Linked DNA regions of Mytilus edulis. The protein of the gene in region 1 interacts with the protein of each later gene in a biochemical or structural test. Links are inferred from orthologs where the notes say so. Each region holds a gene or a part of one and is shown on either strand. Other genes may lie near its edges.

Region 1 (11,125 bases):
GTCAATAGACAATACGACATGAGCACTGCTTTGTATTAGACCAACACGCTAAGCCGGATCTTTATCGTAGTACTTCTCAATCTATATATGTAAGCAGGAAAACATGTCACCCAAGCAGCACCAAAACATTACTCAGACTCAGAACTGACAAGTTTTTGCTAGCTCTATATAGTATCCCTTATAATGACGCTTGCATATTGTATATAGAAGCAGCAAATATTAAGTAACTTCTTTAGTTTCACCCTAACAGAGATTTAAAAAGAGGGGCGAAAGATACCAGAGCGATATTCAAACTCGTAAATCGAAAATAAACTGACAACGCCATGGCTAAAAAAAGAAAAATAATAGAAAACAAGACTCAACACAGAAAACTAAAGACCAAATAACACGATCCCAACCAAAGACTTGAGTTTATATCAGGTGATCCGGCAGGGTAAGCAGATCCTGCTCCACACATGGCACCCGTCTTGATGATAAGCAACAACTTACGGCACTGCAGACGAGCACGTTACCACAAGACAAACGACAATGGCAAATAGTTCACGCATATAAACAGAAACCATCTAAAGAATAATTAAAGTTCTTTTAAAAAGGTTTAATAACTATAAACATGGTTGGGATTTATTTTAATAATTTTTGGCCTGAGTTGCAAATTTCAACCTCCAAACCCCCACATTGCATCAAGTCTCTGGCTGTTCAGTCGTTTGTTGTAGAAAGATCTCCTCATAAAAAAATGATAATCAACTAATAAGAATCTGTTTTATGACCGAATATTCGAACATGCTGCAAGATTGTCGAGCTGAGTAAAAAGAAAAGAAATTAACAAATTGATTGTTTTACTTTTCATCTGTATCATATTAAAAAAGAACAAGCTTATCAAAAAGCTTTTTCGTTTTGTATAATATTTACTGAGCAAGACTGATTGCTTCTAAATTCATTTGCTGAACGACCAGTGGCAAATAGTTAACACATATTTTACAATGAAAAGAAATCAATTATATATTTTAAAGAAAGAGGCAGCATTACTTTATACCCTGCATAACAAGTCCCCGTCAAATTAGTTGTATGATGTTGAAAGAGTTGCTTAGAAAATATCATGGGATTCATTAAAGAATTTGTTTGAGGATTTTGTTAAATGTTGTGGAATCAAAGTGATGGGAATTTAGTCATAAGTATAAACATGATTTATATGTTTCATTTAAACACAAATAAAAGAATATTACGACAATTAAATGTGATAAAAATACATAGATAAGGATATTTATAAGAAAAACATGTTTTATTGTCTGGTTTAAGATTAATATAAATATGATAAGAAATTAAAAATTCACACTGTTTTATGTTGCTATACGAAATATCACATAACAGATAAACTAATGTTTATTAACGATAACACGAATTAATTACTGCCGGTACATTTTTATCAATTATCGGAGTTTAAAAGAAATATTTTCTATAAATCTAAGAAACAAAGAATAAAATTAGATAAACTGGCAAAATTAAACAAATAGCAGTAGAAACAAACACCTAGAGGTGTAACATACAACACACTTCGTGTTTTTTCTGCAATAAATATGAATCTGCATGGCTTCACACCTTTGAAGTTCACCTGCTGATAAATGACGTCACCCGCTGGTTTAGATGAATCATTGCAAATGTCAAATTCATAACACTAGTGTACCAAAATCCTTACCATATTAGCGCAAGGGATCAGTGTCATTTTTTTTGTATCAGGTCAATTAAAATTTCAGTCAAGAGGTTAAAAGTATACTTAGTAAACAAGCGGGGGACGAAGAACATGGACAATTGGGTCTCTTGAAATCATTATACGCTTACTTAAAATTGAATAAGAGTAAACTTATCAATATAAATATACGACAAAAGATGCGATCATGCATACACCTTCCTTCTACCTTAAAGATGATACTGATCTTGCCTCATCATATGGCTCATATATTTCTCATCTTTTATACGACTTGCCGAATTATTTTGAATAATATAAAAAAGAAGATGTGGTATGATTGCCAATGAGACAACTATCCACAAAAGACCAAAATGACACAGACATCAACAACTTTAGGTAGCTAACTTGAATGGGCATAAACTTGAATTGAAATAAAAGTTGCTTTTACAGATATACTTAAGTCTTTTTAATACTTTTGCAAAACGTTTACATCCTTTTTCAGTGCATTATCTGTTAATATACTGATTCCGTTAAAAAACAAACATTTAAAAAATACACACAATGTAAAATATACTCGTTGACTGACTTTTCTGGACCTTAATTAACGGCAGTTAACAATGAGGTAGCTGAATTCCTAAAAGTGAGCACACATTTTGTTTGGCAATGTATGATGACGCTTCAAATAAGCCTTGTTCAAGTTAGATTTAAAACCATTCGTAGCTGCACTGTGCATGTTTTGATTTAGTTAATGTTTTTGTATAAAGGTCAAAGTTCAAAGTTCTTTATTTTCCCTGATGGGACATAATGACAACAATACACAATACATTCTGATTCTTAACACATAAACATATAAGACATATAATGAAGATAAAATAAAAATTATAATTCACACGAAGAGGATGAGATAATATTAAAGAATATATATCTATAAACATATAAAATATCACAACACATAAAACAATTGTTATTGTTATTATTTATAAGTTATTTTAGTTCTTTCAAAGTTTCAAATCTTTGATTTTTCTGCCATGCCAGAGTGCCAGCAAACATAGTTTAATAATTTATTAATTCACCATATTAAATTGAGAATGGAAATAGTTTGCTTACAGAGGTCCACCTTGTCTCTTATCCAGAAAAATAAGTTGAAGGAATAATACAAGTCACTAAAATGGAAAAGAGACCAAGGGCAAATGCACTACCATATGATATGGTGTTGGTGTATCTGGACCATTTGCTGTGCATTTTTGTTTGACGATTGACCCCCCCTCCCCCCCCCCCCAAAAAAAAAAAAAAGAACTCACACATATATCCGTGTATGATTCTAGTATTTTTATTATTAGGCTAATTGTTCTTTTTATCCTTCTTACTTAGAAAAAGTTTAACACAGTAATAAGAGAATAACAGATAATGGAATCATATCTATAGGTGATAGAAATTAGAAATTGATGTAGTATACATTTTTTTGTTGTGAAATCATCATCAGCAGCAGCGTACTCCATCATATTTCTTTAGAAACTAAAAGTGTAAACAAATCATGTATAATACACTCGATAAGTATTACAGATTTACTATTATTTGTTGATTGTAAAGCAAATTGCAATTTTTGAAAAATAAAATATTGCCCCAGGCTGTTCTGATAACAATGGAATAGACTATACCGATTGGTAAGTGCGATAAACATCTTACAGAGGACAATTTTCATTGGTCATAAAAATCACATGATCGACAGACCCGCCATTTACGACAAGCGTGGTTTGGATTTATATTTACAAATTTTGTAAACATATTTCATTTGAAAACTGGATTTACAATAATAACAAAGTGATTTGGAAATGTCAACGTTACAACCAAGAGTTCGTAGAGGAAGGCGATCGGCCTTGAGAAAGAGAGAAAATGGATTAGTTAAAACATTGAATTTTCACGATTCCGACGGGGAGTTCAGCCCGAACGATGGTGGGTCTAGCCCATTTCATTCACCGAGTATGGAAAGTTACGATGAGCCAGATTATTTGGAAGTGGATATATCAACACCATATTTAAATTCTACATCTCGTTCAGCAAGGACATTTATTAGTTCTCGGAAATTATCACCAATTCCGTTTGGAATAGACGATGAAAATGATGGTGACGTGGAGGATGACGAACAGCGAGTGCCAGCCCCTGGAAAACATGTCATCTCTCCGGACGAAGCGTGTCCGATTTCACCACCGTCACGTAAGCTTAGAGCATTAAGACTTTTTGATACTCCTCATACACCTAAATCTTTATTACAAAAAGCTAGACGGAGGAGATTGACAGATGAAAGAAAATCAAATTCAAAAGAAAATGGCGAAAAAGTGGAGGCCAATGTCAACCCATTTACACCATGCAACAACAGACCTTTATCGTGTTCAGTGTCATCTGGCATGGCCAGTATAAAAAGAAGCAGAGAGCAAATGGAAAAGTAAGTTTAAATATAGTTGTATTAGACAGTATTTATTATTTAAGTTTATGATCTGACATGAAAAAAGTTGGAATAATTTGAAAATCCACAGCAGTCTGCAGATCACCCAAGTTACTAAGCTGAAATGTATTTGAATAGGTACAAAAATCAACCTTAAACCAGCGGCTTATTTCAGTAGATATTGTGCTTTTTTGTAAATATGGTCCCAAGTTTCATACTACATTTGTACTAGTTCAAACAATTTGTTTCTTAAATTACATCATTCTAAGTTTAGAAATAAAATGATGACTCATTTCTAATGTTAATTGTTAAGTTTTGATTTCTGTCAAGTTGGAGATTTTGTCTGAGGATAGCATTGTGTTTAGTTCGGGTTTGCATGATGCCATCAGCTGATCAGATTTAAAAAAAACAGATCCAGATTTTGTTAATTGCTATTTGTAAAATCGCAGCAGCTCCCATCGTGACTAAAGTTAAGGTTGAGAATATTTCCAAGTTTCATTGTTTATCAACCTTGCATAGCGTTTCAGTAGATATATTTATATGATATCATGTACATATTTTTGTTTGAAAATTCATTTCCTTGACACTTTTATCAAAGTTGTCTCAAGTTTATTTTGAAATAAATGTTTTGTTGCAAAGGCAGACTGACTAGGAATAGGGAAAGAAGTTGATCACCCAAAATTCCTTCATTTCTAATAAATATCAGTACATGTACATATGTTATAAATATTATTTGATTATTTCCAGGAGTTTATTAGAAGATTCAGCTGATGAAATAGAAATAGATATGCCATCAACAAAGGTATGTACAGTTGTATAAATTTAGTTCAGCTGTAAAAAGAAGGAATAAACACTTTTAAGCATTTAAAAAAAATAAAATTAAAATGTAATAAATATTGTCAACTTACTGAAACATTGTTTAGTTAAGAAAGATATTGCAAATAACAAGTGGAAACTTTATAAAAGCTGCAGATAGATATCGATGGAAATTATGCGAGGTTTGGAGAAAAAAAGATTGATGTTCACGTTCCTCATTTGATAAATGTTTGACGAACTTTCTTAAGCAGCAGCAATGATTAATTTCTCCATTCTTTTTCAGAAAATTGCCTTGCATGAAATCAACACATCACGGTATAACGAAGAGTTTCATGAAGTGTGTAAACTTGGTGATGGAGAATTTGGTAGTGTTTACAAATGTATTCACCGATTAGATGGATGTACATATGCCATAAAGAAGTCCAAGGCACCAGTAGCAGGGAGCCAGTATGAGTAAGTATAGTTATATTTTCTTCCCAAAATGGCATACATTAACTACCTAATGTGTCCTTAGATTGAAAATTACAGGTTTTAACATTGTGGTTAACTTGAATTTTGAATGGTTACAGATAGTTTCATCGAACTACACACAAGGTTACACAATCGGTTGAATAAGAGTTAAGATTCAAAAGTTTGGGGGAAACTACCTTAAACAAATATATTTTGCATTTGAGTAATGCTACATGTATCATATGAAGGAATGTAACATTTTACACTATCAAGTACCATACTGGTAAAAAATACAATCGCATGCATATTTCTACTTAAAATTTTAAGCTTGATTGTTTTGGACAAATGTAGAGTCAACATTGAAGCTGAATGAGGATTTGAATGTTGCCCACATGTAGTTGTCTTGTTTATGTATTCCTTTTACTAAACATTTTATTTACTTACTTTCAGGAGGAATGCCATGAATGAAGTGTACGCACATGCTGTTTTAGGAAAACATCAACATGTCGTGAGATACTACTCTGCCTGGGCTGAAGATGATTATATGTACATACAAAATGAATACTGTAATGGTAAGAGCTTCATATTAGGTTGTTTTCAAAATTTGAAAAGAGAACCTTACAAGATTACAAAAAATGAGTTATACAAGGATATAGTAGTGCATCTGCTGTAAATAATAAACTGAAAAACGAAACTAGCTCTCCTAGAAAAAAAGAATCACAGCCTTATAGATGTGAAAAGTAATTGTTGAAAGTCACCCTTTTCTGTCTCAAATTAATTCCAATTTGTTTACTCTGTTTCCTTTAAGGAAGAAGTTAATGTCATTAAGGTTATAAAATTATTTAAACTATTGATAGGTTTCATATTTAAAGTTTTTTTAATTCTTAGGTGGGAGTCTAGCTGATGTAATTGATACCAACAGGAAGACTGGCCGTAAATTGGGTGAGGATGAATTTAAGCAGATTCTCCTTCAAGTGTCGAGGGGACTGAGATACATACACTCCCAGAACCTTGTCCATCTTGATGTCAAACCAGGCAATGTATTCATCCATCGGAACCCTAAGTTCTTGAACTCTCCTGAGAGTGGGATGGAATCTTTGGAGGAAGATGATGAAGTAGAAGAAGCCATTACATATAAAATTGGTAAGTAACGTTAAAACTAACAAGTTGTTGTGTGGTGAGCGAGTTAATGGACAGTAATTTTTCCAAATTTTGGTTATTTTCCTTCTATTTAAGATTACATGTATATAAAATTTGTTTTGAGGAAAATATTTTAAAAAATTTAAAAATTCAGATCAGCATTTTGAATGATTATATTGCCCATGAAGTGCAAGATCTTAACTTGGTTACCTGTCATCAGAAATTTGTGATTTATGAAGTTTTATGACTGTTAAGAAAAGTATATTCCTCTTTTTCATTGATACATTGTATCATAGAAAGCATGGGAAGGTGTAGCCTTGTCCAAATATTTGTACACCTTTTAACATCAGTTGTAACATAATATAATTTTATCATTGCAGGAGATTTAGGTCATGTAACATCAGTGTCTAACCCAACAGTTGATGATGGAGATTGTCGATATTTACCAAAAGAAATTCTCAATGATGACTATGAGAACCTGACTAAATCTGATATCTTCTCACTCGGATTAACTATGTATGAAGCGGTAAGTTGTCTAGATATATAAAAATCCCTCCAAGTTCCTAGATATAGTGAAGAAATGCTTTTCAAAGTGATCAATATTCAAAGAAAAAGATACACATGTAGCAATAAAAAATTGTAAAGGATCATATTTCGTTTATATAATTATTTGTGTCTATCACTTAATTTGAATGTTGTGAAATAAAAAACTGACAAGTCTATGCCAAAACCTTTTTCATCTACCGGTCTGGAAACTTGTTTGAATCAATATTTACTTGTCTTGGATATCTGTCTAGTGGCTTAAATTGATGCTGGATTTGAGATAATACCTACCTATCCTTTCATTTATTCATTTGCACTCATACCAATATTTTTCTATTACAGGCAGGTGGATATCCCTTACCTAAGAATGGACCTAAGTGGCATGCCATCAGACGTGGTGAATTACCATCATTACCACATCTGACTGTAGAAATGAACCACCTAATCAAAGTAAGTTCAGCATTTGTTGTCAATGTTAAAGAACATCTAGGGAAATAATAATTTAATTATTAAATTGTGTTTAGACAAAGTTGATCAGATTGGTAATAACGAACTATAAAATTATATTATGCAATCTGCAGCTTGATACAGGTTATAATTTTTGTTTTGAAAAATGGAAAAAGAACTTTCCAATATTTTGTTATGTAAATATAGAAGTCTTGAATGTCTATTGTATATATGTATATTTTAACAAAATAAAAGAGCATTTTTGAATCACAATTTATAATATGCTACTGATTTTGAAGAGAAAATGTATTTATTATTTTATTATTTTTTAAAGAGTATGGTAGACCCTGACCCAACACAAAGACCTTCAGCAACACAAATTGCACAACATCCTGTCTTGTGTCCGCAGGCTAAAAAATCAAAAGCCCAGCTTAGAAAAGAACTGAACGAAGAAAGATTTAAAAACCAGATGTTATCAAGGTACTTAAATTAACTTTTAATATCTATAATACTAAAATTACGAGGTCCAATTTGTCAGCCGTCATCACGTAAAAACGACGAATCAAAGAATTCAACTTTATATATAACTAATATAGTACAAAGGTGTAGATTAAAAATTACACCACTCCAGGCCCTTTTGTTTTCCACGTAATTAATATTGCCAATAATTAAGAAGTTCCGGATCGAGTCCGATACCGATACCAATAGTATATTCACCTGTTACCTATTACCTTATCTGTACGTTCCGCATCTGACAGGCGCACCACCAAACGGTGTATTCAGGATTAATATGCTATATACACGGGTCATAATCACAGGATTGACACTACTAAATTGTAGTATTTTAATCAGTAAGACTTTCTAAGACAACAATACGAATACTAAACATCTGGACTAAAAATAAGGCGTATAGGTACAGTTTGCAATTTGTTAGCGGGCATGACTTAAAACAGCGAATCAAAGAATTCAACTTTATAACTAATATAGGACAATGCTGTTGATCATTAAAAAATACTCCATTCCAGGACCTTTTGTTTTCCAAATAATTAATATTAACAATAATTGATAAGTTCCAGTTCGACGGGTTCAAACAGAAAGATTCAAGTTGAAAACAAAGAAAACTGTGTATCTTATAATCGGCATGACTTTATCAGATGACAATACTAATACTAAAATAAGGCTTGCGCAAAGTTATATACTTTAATTCAGTCACGGACCTGCGATATCACGGGTGTGTTCTAGTACAATTTAAAAAATATGATATGATAGCAAATGAATTATCATGAACTATCTAGAAGAGTCCCACAGACAAAGTATGAACTTTTTGAAGCATTTAAAGGTCACCATAAGGCCTCCAACAATGAGAATAAAAGATTGTTTTGCAATGTGATTTTGACATAAAAAGAAGATAAATTAAAAAAAATAATGTTGTTATGCCTCAATACTTGTAGAAAAAGCCTGGAACAGTGGATGCTCAAAAGAATTGAATTGGAGATTAAATAGTTGTATATTAATACACACATGTAAAAACTGTAAAATTTAATTTTTTAAAACATCATATTTTATAATTTGTGCATTCAATTCTGTATACAACATTCTAACCTTTTTTTTTTCTCTTCAGAAAATTAATAGAAGCTACCCAGTGCCTTGTACAGAATACCCCCGTGTTTGCACAGCCAGATAAAGTGAGTCGACTAATTGGAAACAGAATGAAAAGGAGCTTAAGCATGACAAACTTTTAAAGAGAATCAATTTTACGCTGAAGGAGGACACTGTGCAATACACAATTTGTAAAAATAATTGTATAAAGACTGGACCCTATTATACCAGTATAAATTTGTTATACATTGTTATGTAATATTTCCTGTTAATGTGCCAAGACAAAGGGTTAACAGATTGGGCATGTTTATTTTCATATCATAGTTCTATTTATATTCATCTGTTGGAGATGCCATCTTATTTATTATCCTCTGGTTTGGACCATAGATTCTTGGTCCTCAAATTTTGAACTTTACTCTTTTATTTTTGGACTCTTTTTTGAATTGAGAAATTGCATGTTAAGAAAATAATGAATTATAATGTTAGATTGCAGCATGTTACCTTTGCTTGTTTGCATTGTTATTTTAAAATTTGTTAGGAGCTTGTATTCTGATAGAATTTATATTGTTTACAAAAATAAGAGCTGGAGAAATGTGGTTCATTTTCATTGGTGATAGTTCATGTAAAATTATTTGTTTGTTTGTAATTTAAAGATATTTATAGTAATTATCAAATTTTAATGTCCTAGTAATCATTGTTACGTTTTCCATTCATAAAAATATAAATTATAGAACCACATTTATCCAGGCTGTATTTCCCCACAATGGCATCTCCAACAAATTGATATTTGTTTTTATATATAGCATGTAAAGAAGTGAAACTTCTCTATGTGATAATCATGAATTCCAGGTAAGTAGGTCAGACGGTGGTGCAAATGATGTGCTATAAGTAGGTCAACATATTTGTATATTGTTTTTATTGTAGGTATATTTAAACCTGTAAACTCCATGGATTCATTGTTAAAAATAGCAACAAGAAGGTGCTTATTGTATGTTTTACAAATAAAATTTTAATAAAATATTTGTGTAGTATTTTAAATATTTGGATGCATAGCAGGGTTGGCAAAGTATTACCCACCCGGGAATTCCTGGGCCCCGGTTTTCCCGGGCTGGGCAATACTCCCAGAAATGGGTAATAGTGGGCATTACTGGGCAATATGATTTTTTAAGCTTATTTTAACACAAAATAGTAAAGTCTTGTTATAGTTTCATAGTATAACAGCTAAATATATACTTTTTATACAGATAACCATTGAAAGTCATTTCTAGAAAATTCAATTTCATTCTCTTCTCTATTATTGTTATATGTTGGCAGAATACAAGATTTGCACATTCAAAGATACCTTTTAATTTCCAAGTATTGTTTCAATAATCCAAACTTTGAAAAATGCATTTTATTGCAGTGTTACAGTCATTAAGGGCTGTTCCAGAAAATACTATGTCCCCCCCAGGGACGGCACTTTTTTTTAACCCCCACCACCCACAGAAATAAAATTTAATTAGAACAGCACTCCCTTTGCATTTTGGTATTTCAAATACAACCACCCACATAATATTTTAAAAAATTGCCTTCCCTGGGGGGGACATAGTATTTTCTGGAACAGCCCTAAGTGAATTTTTAATTTTAATGTTATACATTCATATTGCTAAATAAACTCCCTACAGGGTCATGCCATTAACACTTATAAAATTGAAAGGACTGATTATTGTTACATAAACAAATCTGTGTTCTAATCTGAATAATTACTTATTAATTAGTGACAGTACATATACACTATTTAAATGTGATGTTTCTTTAATACATGTAATTGTTAATTCTTAATATGAGCTATATTCATTTGAAAAAAAAATGATTTATTTGCTTTCTATTTACAGTTTGCCAATCTAGACAAATGCTAAACAAACAAAATAGGGTATAAATATCTATTAAATGTATTGCATTTGTGTTTATCAATGAATCCTCTTTAAAATTCGGACAAATATTTTATATTACCCAGTATTGCC
Region 2 (11,125 bases), on another chromosome or scaffold:
TCATCTTCAGTAAATATTCAACTGATGTACAAAATAAAGTTCTACCTATAAACAGAATGAAAGTTTTAATACACAGACAATTTAAGTACCTTATAAGTTGAAAGATGAACAGATAGATAGATTGAAAGGTCTGACAGGGTTAGATTAATATATATCTAACTTTCTTCAAGGTGACATTAAAGCATTTGTCTAAACACTCCATATACATGTATAAGCATGATAAGATTTACCCTCAAGTATTTTTATAGCTTCTTCTTTTGACCTGGTGATGTTTTCTTCCCTCCATGATGATGGTCTTCTAGAATCTTTATGCTTTACAAGTAAGTGTGAAGCCTGAACAGTTGCACTTTGCTGTTTGGCAGGGGCTGTAGGCATGTCCCATTGACTTTCTTTTGTGTAAATATTCAAAAAGTACTCCTTATCTGAAGAAAGAATTGACAATTACACAAGACCCTGTGTGATCCAATTTAGAATCCTCTTATGCTCAATATGCTACTGAGGGATCCCTGTTTTACAACCGCTTATATAAATATCATATGTGTACAATACTTTATGAGACATGTCTTGGCATTGCATCTCTATTAGTATTACTACCCAAATCATTGAGTGATTGAAACAAAGATTGAAGACGGATTAAACTTGTATTGCCTCTTTTAAGATTATTTTACCCAAAATCAAGTATTGATTTATAATTATAGTGATTAAAATTATTATTCTAGGTTTTTGCTGTTGTTGCACACATCATGATGTTACAGCCAATACTCCCTTGAAGACTGAAACTTACAGGCAAGAGTTCCATACTGTAGTATATGAACACAGTCATGACAGTTATAGGTTACAGTTTATTGTGGGGGCTAAAAGAGGAACTTTTCCCCACTTGAAGACAATACATGTGTATATCATCCAGGGCTCACGCTACCAGGCGACTTGGGCGAAGAAGTCGCCCTGCCGACCGTCACTTCGCTTTCCCCGACCCCCAAAAGCGAAAACAAGTCGCCCTGTTCTTGACGATAGTCGCTTTCAGTCGCTTCCGTCATCGGACATTTTCAATTTTTACCAAGTTGATGAAACATCAATTTTTTACTGATAATTAAAGAAATTCAGACATAAACTATTCATTATCTTTAGAAAAGAGGTTGAAGCATTGTCTTCGCAGTGTGTATCAGGTTATTTGATAAAAATACAACTTTTTATCACTTCGTGCATTTTCGCCAGCCTAAGTTCCGTTGCTTGTTACTCGAAAACGTACATCAACCTAAATTTGACATCTGGATAAAAGGTTAATAGTTTGCTTCATTTCTTCCGTTCTCATCATTCTAAAACATATAAATCAAACATGACTGACTCTGACTGTGTCAGAGCATTCAGTGAGTCACTAAGATGGGTCTCATTTGGGTCTAAGCGTGACACAGGATTGCAGATTTTTTGTAAGCGTGACACGAAAACGGCAAATAAGTCTAGCGGGACATGGGAAAAAATGAGAATTGCTTACATACAATGTATAGTGTAAGCAGGATATGGGAATCTGACAAAACAGTAAGCAGTATACGGGATCAGAACCCCCCAATGAAACCTCCACTAAGTGACACCAGAGACAAACATGTATATACAAATGTACATGTCTCTGGTGACACTGATCATGAGGTCTTATCAAGAAAAATATTGGCATTATTGCCCTTAAACTGGACACACTTCATGACAGTCTGGCAGTTATCTGGTCGATTCGTAACTATGTTGATTTGTAACTGAGACGTTTTGTACCTGGTGTAATTAAATGTATATATGGTTATCTGTCATAGTCCAGTCGATTTGTGCAGATTTTTGACAAAATTGCTCAGATTGTGGTAAAAGCATGAAATTTGGCATAGTAGTAGTATATGTCATGGACAACATTTCAAGCTATGGACCCACTCTGAAAGTCGAAATTTGTGGACGAGGCGGCCATTTTAAAATGGCGGCCGTTAAATCTTTGTAGATTAATAAAAAAAAATCATGAAAATGATATTAGAGAAGATGTTGACATGAAACCTGGTTAATAGAACAACAGTGCCGATTTCAATTGTCTTGTTGAACAAAAGTTTTGGAAATATTTCCCATATTGAATGGCGGCCATCTTGAAAAGTCTTGATTTTTTAAGCCAAAATATGTAGTCATTTTTCGATAAAAATAAAAAAAAAAAATGCATTGTCGAAGATATACAAATGTATTTGTTTGAGCTATATAAATAGGAAAAAAAGTGAGCATACCCTCCTCCCCGAGTTATTCTTCTGTTGTGTATCGGGTATAATAGCATTAAAACGCGGACCACGAAGAGGATCATAAAATGAACTATTACTCTAAAACCAATATTCGTTCCACCGCTTGTTCAACATAGAATAACAGGAGATTTTATTTTACAAGTACAAATAAAGCAAGAAAATATGTGTATACCTGTCGTTTATAATAATTGTCTGATTACAGGATAATTCGTTATGTTGATATTGCTCATTTAAAAAAACTTTCAAAAACCTTGGTTGCAGACATAATGAATTACATATCATGCAAGTAATGTTAAAAGAACATCAATTACGCAAATGTTTTCAATTGACGTTAAAAATATCTAACAATAAATGAAATGTATATGTTTTACCAAATCACACTCTGTCTATCATATTCGATCACATTGTCATCCACGTTTACATATCGTAGTACTACTTAATACTTTTTTTACACATTTGCATTTCCTTAGGAACCGTGTTCACTTTGACTTATAACATGTATAAGTTGAGCGCTTACTGCAGGAAGTTATTATATAGTCATATGGTATATTCATCACAGATGACAAGGCCTGTCATCTGAGAACTTCATATATATTGATTTTTTTTAGGGTAGCCATCTTGAATGATGGCCATTTTGAAAACATGATTTTCCAATATATCATTATTTGCTTATCTTATTAATTCACTGTTTGCATTCATACATTTTTTACTAATCTATATTTGATATTCACAAAGAAGTCAGATAAGGCATGCACATGTTTGCATAATAAAGATATCAGTGTCAGAATTTTTGTTACTTACATGTTTGCCTAAGTAACTTTTTAAAACAGAAATTACGTATACATGATATAATTTATGACCGAAAGTTTTTGTTGGAAAAGATACAAATTGTAGATTTCGAAAACCCTGGGGCTAGATATCAGAAGAACATTATGGGCGACTAGACTGTAAGGAATGTGTGAAACGACAAGAGAGGAAATGTGAGGGTTTGCAATGCCAAGCAGATACAAATGGAACAGACATATACATTTGAGCTGGCAATCACTCTTTTGATGCAAACATATGAAGATGTTGGGTTTTGAAATGCTTTTCCTTTCGCTCAATTCAAAACAGTTGAATGAGGGCTATGGAACTGCAGAAGCACTCCAGAATCACAAGGCATAATGGCACAACTCATGTCAAACAAATGTTCAGATCTCAAAATATTTCATCAGTAAAAGGGAAAACATACTAGATAAGTTGCCAATTGAAAGAAAACAATAAGTAACCAGACAATGTAAGGTGATACTGGATCAACCAAATCAATGACTGAAGTGTATCTTTTCTGTGGTGATGTATCTGAAGATCTCCATGATACATCGACATTTTCAAATCGACAAAAATAGGGCATGACTGTGCACCTGTACTACAAGACATATTCCCCTAGCCAAAGTAAGTGCTGAAGATGTCAACTCACTAATATCCTGCTTGATGATTGATAAAACTTGACAACATAGCAAATCAGAGAGTACAAGACACAGAAAGAAAGCCAGGAATCTTTTATCATTAGAGCTATGCTTTCCAAAATAATAAAATACATTGATGGCACACGGTCTGGAAGAGGTATTGTACTAATCTCCAAGCTTGCACATCACGCTAAATTGTACAGTTAACGCCTGGAACAACTTGGAGTTTTCATGGAAGGAAGAACTGATACAACGCTGTTAACAAAATTGGAATGTAGCTGCCATAGCAAGCATACAAGCAAGATAAATTAGTTCTCTTGATTTTCAACAAAGGTATTCGTGACGCTCTAGAACAGACCTCTTTATAAAAGGGTAAAAATAAAGGCATCACCATAGCCATAGCAGGCAAATATATATATGCTTGATACTAAAATAGCTTTACAGGGACACTCAGTAAACGCTGTTGACACGAATCAGTCCAACAGACATAAGTTTCCTCAGTAAGAATGATACATGATGGCATACCATCGTGACACAGTCCAGTTATATCGTTGAGTGGCAGACAAACATACTATTTCTCAGCTATAATAGTTCAATTGTGCAACTCGTAGTCGAAAGGATACAACTGAAATTTATCAGCCATCGGATAGAGAGTAAGATGTCTCAAAGATTGTGGAACTGATTCATTTTGAAAGCCTATATTGAGTGTCCCTGTAAACCTTTTTATAGTAGTAAGCCTAACTCTTCAAACTATTCTAGTTACTTTGACTATGAAGAGGCCTTCACCATCACGACTAAAAGACATGGCCTTTTTCAGAACATCCCCAACATATTCGTTGAGAATCCAGAGAAAGACGCAACTATTCATGTGTTCTTGCATATCATCTATGGCAGCTAGTTTTCAATTTTTAGAAGTGTTGTATTGATCATTCCTTTCATAACAACTCATATTTACTAAGAACATTCACTGTACAATTTACAGATATCATCAATTTCAAATATTAAAACAATTCCAGACTGTAGCCGTCACTGTTTCTATCATTTTGGCGAGGCCCATTCCATGGATAACAGATTACTGACTTTCTTTCTGTGTCTCGAATTCCGTCTAATTGTCTAATCGTGCAGTTTTAACAAACATTTAGCATGTTATCTGCTCTTGAAATATGAATCTCCTGCACTGAGTCTGGCTAAAAGAACAATGGTTAGTAGTTCAAGTGACAGTAACGTACACTATTGTCGATCATAATTGTCGATGCTTGATGATGAATGATAGTCAGATACCTCATCAAAAAGAAAGAAAAACAAAACACCCTGCAGTTATTGTTCTTGTTGATTCATCACAATTGTGGCTGGTTATTTTACTGGGTTTTTTTCAATCCGTGACTCATCAGACTTTTTTCGTTTTTCCTGACAAAATATATTTTGATCTTAAGATTTGCCTTGAAAGGATTATTACCTTTTGCCTTGTGATTCTCCCATTACATGTCCTTCATCAACTTGGAACAGTTTTATGCTTACAACAACTGACTGATTACCAGCTCAAATGTCTATGTCTGCTCTTTTTGTATTTGCCTGGCATTGCAAATCCTTACGTGTCCTCTCTTCGCGTTACGGAATTCTTTCCAGTCTATTTTTTTTTATTATTTTTTTCAGCTCCAGTGATTGTAATAGCTACGCAGTTTTCCTTTTCAACATACAGTGGTCATAACTCATATTGTATATACACATTTTTTGAAGGTAAACATGTAACTGAGCCCTATATGCTTAACTGCAATTAAAAGAATGTACGTATTTCTTTACATACATTTATTTGTTAACCGTGTTTACATACGCATAGCTTATTTGAGCACTTGGTGAATATATCCTATATTAACAGTCATAAATAAATGATTAGCAAAACTAGTTGTAAATGCAAATAAAACTTAATATTAATACAAATTTTTTTTTAGGATAGCGAATAATGATATATTGGAAATTTACGTTTCCAAGATGGCCACCATTCAAGATGGCCACTAAATGCTTCAATAGTCCTCAGTTGATATTCTCTGTCATAAGAAATACGAAAGTTTATCAAAATTGGTAAAGAAATATATTTTTCATATTTTTTCTAATTATTTTTATTATTTTTTTGGACATGATTTCAAAATGGCCGCCCAGAGCCGCCATTTTGATTTTCTAAATTGGGTCCATAGCTAAAAATGTTAGTTATGACCTCAACTAACACTCTGCAAAGTTTGATGCTTTTACCACATTCTGAGCAATTTTTTCACAATTCGACTGGACTATCAGGGGACTTACTGAAATAAGTGATTTTTAAATCACTTATTTGAGTAGCAAATTTGAGGTTTTGTCACAAATTGGGATTGTAAAAAGATTATCAAATTTTTCATCTAATAAAAACAATATTGTAATGTTTTTAATTTAAAACTTTCTTAAATCTTTTTAATTATTGGCTAATTGGTGTTCTTTCTGTAGTTATAGGCTCCAATATCGTCAGACTAAAAACAAGAAACATGAAAGAAACCTTATGATGGAAAAAAAAAGATTAATAAAGAACTCAGCAACATAAAGATGAGTGGTGTCAAGTATTGAAGACATCACAGCACGTGGCAGACGACTAAATAGTTTGATAAAGACGGGGTACATCTAAATGATGATGGACAATTTAAATTCTTCTGTTCTATTCGCATATGTGCAAAACTGTACTTGTAAAGTGTAAAATTAGGTGCAATCAATTATTTAATAAATAAATATACATGGTACACCAATAGGTCTTTTTATTATTTTTTAAGTAACCTACGACTCATATTATTATTATATATTGATATTGGTTACAAAATGTCTCAGATACGAAACAACCTAGTAAGTTACAAATAGACTAGTTACGAAACGACCAGGTTACGAAACGACCTGCACCCGTTTATTACATACAAATCAGTTTCTGTTGGTCAGTGACAGTGTTTCACTGTATGTGGCGGAGATAGAACAAATAATTATGACGTCTTGAAAGCCTATTATAATTTTTTTAGCGTCAAAGAAAAAAATTATAACAGGCTTTCAAGTAGTCCAAATAATTATGACGTCTTGAAAGGCTATTTTAATTTTTTTCTTTTACGTCGAAGTAAGGCGTCATAGAAAAAATTATAATAGCCTTTCAAGACGTCATAATTATTTGGACTAGCTTTCAAGATGTCATAATTATTTGGACTAGGGCCGAGAGTGAGTGTTAGCCCAAATTTCGTGACTCAACGTGATTGGGATGATCGATCTTAATTTTAAATGATAGTTTGCTAGTTAAATTCTGTTATAAATTACTATTTGAGCGACTTATTTTCCTTTCCCATCCTTCTGGTACGTCTGACATCGTGCCGATTGAAAAATAAAAATGTGGAAATAGCGGCTTGATCAGGGTTAAAAAGTGTTTAAAATGGAGAGTCGAATATATAAAACAACAGCGGATAAAACTATGTGTATATTCCGTATATTGATAAAGTAAGATTATTTCATATTGACAAACATTTATACATAAGCTCTGATGAGCTTTAACCTTCATGATATAAAAACATGTTGTAAATGAAATGTATTTTGTACACTTGCATTATGCAATGACAAGTTTATCATATATGCTTTATCCCGTAAAATATACTTGAATTTGAAAAAAAATATTTATCTTAAACTGACACAATCTAATTAAAAACCGATCTCTCATCGCTCCTGTTTCTGATATGTCGCGACATATCAGAAACAGGAGCGATGAGAGATCGGTTTTTAATTAGATTGAAACTGACACTGGCAGCATAACTCTAGCATACAAAAAAAATATTACAAAATAAATGCACATATAAATCTCGACGACAGTTTAAGATTTTTTTTAAATAAGTTAGTAACTATCTTTATTTTCTTTGGTACATGTAGATAAGGATAAAGTCAATCAGTCCACACAAACTTGAAAAACATGACATTCTTGATCATTCTTATTCCATCATGCACCCGGGGTTGTATCCTTAGTACAGACTGTCAAGTATATTGTTTCCAAGAACTATAACTGCCACTTGAACCAACTACCTGATAACATCACAAATTGCACATAAGTAAAAAGAACACTGTTGCCATGGCTCTATAATTGTGTTACTGTAGTTAGTACACTAAGATGTCTTTACTCTGGTCATCACATACAATTTTAGACAACTTAAGAAAGGGAATACAAATAGAGACAGGGTTATCATATTATCAATTATTGCACTTTACGTATTGTGTTGGACCATCCGGACTGGAGTCGGTTCGCAAGATGCAAGCACACCGCACCTAACTATACAAGATGATCAGCTGGCTAGCACAAAGAAACAAAACTAAATACAATTCAAGCGGAGAAAAGATTTTAATAAATCCTGCAAACAGAGAAGCAACAGTTATAACTACCCCAGGAATGGACTGACTAGATTTCTAAAATGTAAAAAGCTCGCCGTTCATAGTAGCAAAGCGGAAATATCGGCGTATAGTATTCCGTAAAAAAGCAGCAGGCCAGCGAAATGAAAAGATTTAATTATTTAGAAAAGTAATAGAAGTATTTCGATCTCTAGTAACTGTATTTCACGGATGTTTCTGTATCTAAAAGAATACCATGAATATCTAATATGAAGCAAAATTTGTAAGTTATTCAAAATTGTGTAGACCTCAAGTGCCTCTGTTTTTTTGTATTTCTTGCTTTTATGTTATCAATCAATAATCATTTTTAATTGAGCGCCTCGTATAGAATTCACGTAAAAAGAGCTAGAGGCAGTCAAACTCATATATAGAAAATAAACTGACAACGCCATGGAGCTATAAAATAAATAAAAAAGACAAGCAGACAAATAATAGTACACAAGACACAATACACGGAAAACTAAAGACTTAAGCAACACGAACCCCACCATGATAAACTAGGGGTGATATCAAGTGGGTAAACACACCCTGCTCCCACATGTGGCACCCATCGTGTTGCTCAGGTTCATTATTACAAAACCCAGTAAATAGTCTAATTCGGTAGGTCACATTCCGTGATGAAAAGTGGGTTGTAGTTACGACATAAGGAACATATCCCAGTGGCGGATCTAGAAATTTTCATAAGGGGGGGGGGGGGGGGGGGCACTGCCTGCCTAAGAGGGGGCCTGCTCCCGTCACGCTTCAGTGATTCCCTATATAATCAACCAATTTTTTTCTCAAAAAATGGGGGCCCTGCCCCCCTTAAATCCGCCTCTGTATCCGATATCATCTGTGAAACAGTTATTCCATAACGGTTAACCAACTCGTGATGGCGTCCGTAAAATTTACGAAGGGATGATTTAACTATTTGGAACTCTTTTTAAAAAGCTCCTTTGTGAGCAGCAACCCTATATCAAGGAAATCATGATAGGAAATACAAGCTCGGTAATATCGTATCAGTTGGGACATAATATACTCAATATGCATGTGCTGCTGGAATGTTGCTACATAGAAATGGAAAGTTCACAATTGTGAAGCTGAAATCATTTCTTTTGTCGTAAAGTTTTGTTTTCAATCGACCCTCATTGTCATTTTCTAGATGTAAGTCAAGATATGAGGCAGGCTTAACTGAATCTGTTGTATCTCTTATCTCTATTTTGATGGTATAGATGCGTTCAACATAGTTACCAAATTTGGAATTATTTAGTGAGAGAACATCATCTATATAGCGGGAAGTAAAGTTAAAGAATATTGCTAACTTCTCATCTTTCTTCCTAAGAAGTTCCTGTATGGAGTCAGCCTCATAATAATAAAGAAAAAAATCGACAAGAAGAGGGGCACATGCAATTGGTTCCCATTGGATTGCCGACAGTCTGTTGAAAACACACATCCTCCAAACGTAACAAGTATATTGTCAATCAAGAAATCAAGCATCTATCTTGATTATGTCAGTTTTAGAGAATTTTGTGTTTGAATCAGAGTGATTGAGTGTTGTTGAAGATCCAATGAAGAATGAACTTAAGACATTAAACCGGAAAATAGTGGATGCTTACAATTAATTGAATAATTAACAACGCGACATAAAAAAAATAGTATATGAATAACATAGGTGCTTTGGAAATGCATGAACCCCCATTTTTATTTTATTTTTTTTAGGTATTATACTGTAACCACAGGCACTTGTCTCAGAAAAAAATCCTATATACTTTTTAACAGTTAACTGCTGTTATTGTAATATCATATGGATATGTATTGTAAACTATGAAGGATTGGTGGGGTGTGCAAAAATACAGAATAGTGAAAAATAGGCCAAAAATAATGTATGGAGAATAACTGGTAGGGTGCCCTCGGAGGGTGCCGCAGTAAAATATATAGAATAGAGAATAATGGACAAACAAAATAAAGAATAGTGAAATTTAGAAATAACATTAGAAAATAAGGATCTCCAATTATGAGGTATTATATGTATCTTCTTGAACTAAAAGATAAATAAATGCATTCGTCCCCAGGTTTCTTGTATATTTTTTTATACATTGGATATACTTTCGGAATTATGTTGATCGAAGCTGGTTCTAAATTTAGATATAATTTACAAACGTTTGAATGATTTTAAAATATTTTCGATATTTTCTTGGTTTATCCCTCAGAATGAGAAACCTCAAGAGACTAAAAATTCTCGAAGCAAAACAAATCACCAGGAAAGAATTTTGACACATTTTGATGAATTGATTCACTTTTGAAGGAAACTACTGGTGTAGGTAATATTTGTTATTTAAGAATTTTATGTTTTGTGACATATATTTATTTTGAACTTTTTATGCCAGTTAAATACGAAAAGTCGCCTGTAGGGCGTTCCTCCTCCAAAAAAACACTTGATCAACACTGGCACTGGCATACATGTGTATCAAAATTGCATATGGCACTCAGGAACAGCCTCCAATTAGAGGAGGGACGAGGGTCTATAAAAAGAAAACAAACTAAGCCATGCTTAGAACTTTAAAGATATAACTTTTGTATTGAATTCTGAGTCTGAGAGACTGTACAGATAACTTAAGTCTTAATAATTATAATATGATTATGAGGCAGGCATTATCTGTGAAAGGGGACAAAGTCTAAATGATTTTTTAATTTTTTTTATTTCACACATAATTTAACTTCAAAATCTGTTAAAAGAGAAACGGAAATACCATAACCTTTCACAGATAATACCATAACGTTTCCTATTTTGGTTCTGTTGTTAGGGATTTTTAATAGTTGTGACGTTATTTAAGTTACAAATGTATGACGTTATATTCAATGTAAACGAAAAAAACGCTATCTCATAGTCTCATGAAAAACGAACTTGAAGATGTAAGTAGATTTCTCCGCAGATGCAGGAAAATTAAAAATCTAAAAAAAAATGTGAACTACATTTTGTATTTTGAGTTCATTAGAAGAAGATTTTTTTTGCGGGAAATT

The links. The genes of interacting proteins can lie anywhere in the genome.
Region 2: the proteins of wee1-like protein kinase (region 1) and putative peptidyl-prolyl cis-trans isomerase dodo form a complex in vitro, tested with the Homo sapiens proteins (2 studies listed by BioGRID, with this or other methods). The link is inferred for Mytilus edulis from reciprocal best matches to the Homo sapiens genes WEE1 and PIN1.

Annotation. Positions count from the first base shown.
Region 1 is NC_092353.1:56,280,013-56,291,137, reverse strand, and holds wee1-like protein kinase, read left to right. Parts: upstream 1-3,389; 5' UTR 3,390-3,516; coding exon 3,517-4,127; intron 4,128-4,874; coding exon 4,875-4,929; intron 4,930-5,226; coding exon 5,227-5,396; intron 5,397-5,843; coding exon 5,844-5,965; intron 5,966-6,281; coding exon 6,282-6,536; intron 6,537-6,913; coding exon 6,914-7,059; intron 7,060-7,418; coding exon 7,419-7,526; intron 7,527-7,857; coding exon 7,858-8,003; intron 8,004-9,144; coding exon 9,145-9,265; 3' UTR 9,266-10,140; downstream 10,141-11,125. UniProt on the Homo sapiens protein: Acts as a negative regulator of entry into mitosis (G2 to M transition) by protecting the nucleus from cytoplasmically activated cyclin B1-complexed CDK1 before the onset of mitosis by mediating phosphorylation of CDK1 on 'Tyr-15'.
Region 2 is NC_092345.1:76,060,164-76,071,288, forward strand, and holds the start of putative peptidyl-prolyl cis-trans isomerase dodo, read right to left. Parts: upstream 7,173-11,125; 5' UTR 7,068-7,172; coding exon 7,019-7,067; intron 423-7,018; coding exon 231-422; intron 1-230. UniProt on the Homo sapiens protein: Peptidyl-prolyl cis/trans isomerase (PPIase) that binds to and isomerizes specific phosphorylated Ser/Thr-Pro (pSer/Thr-Pro) motifs.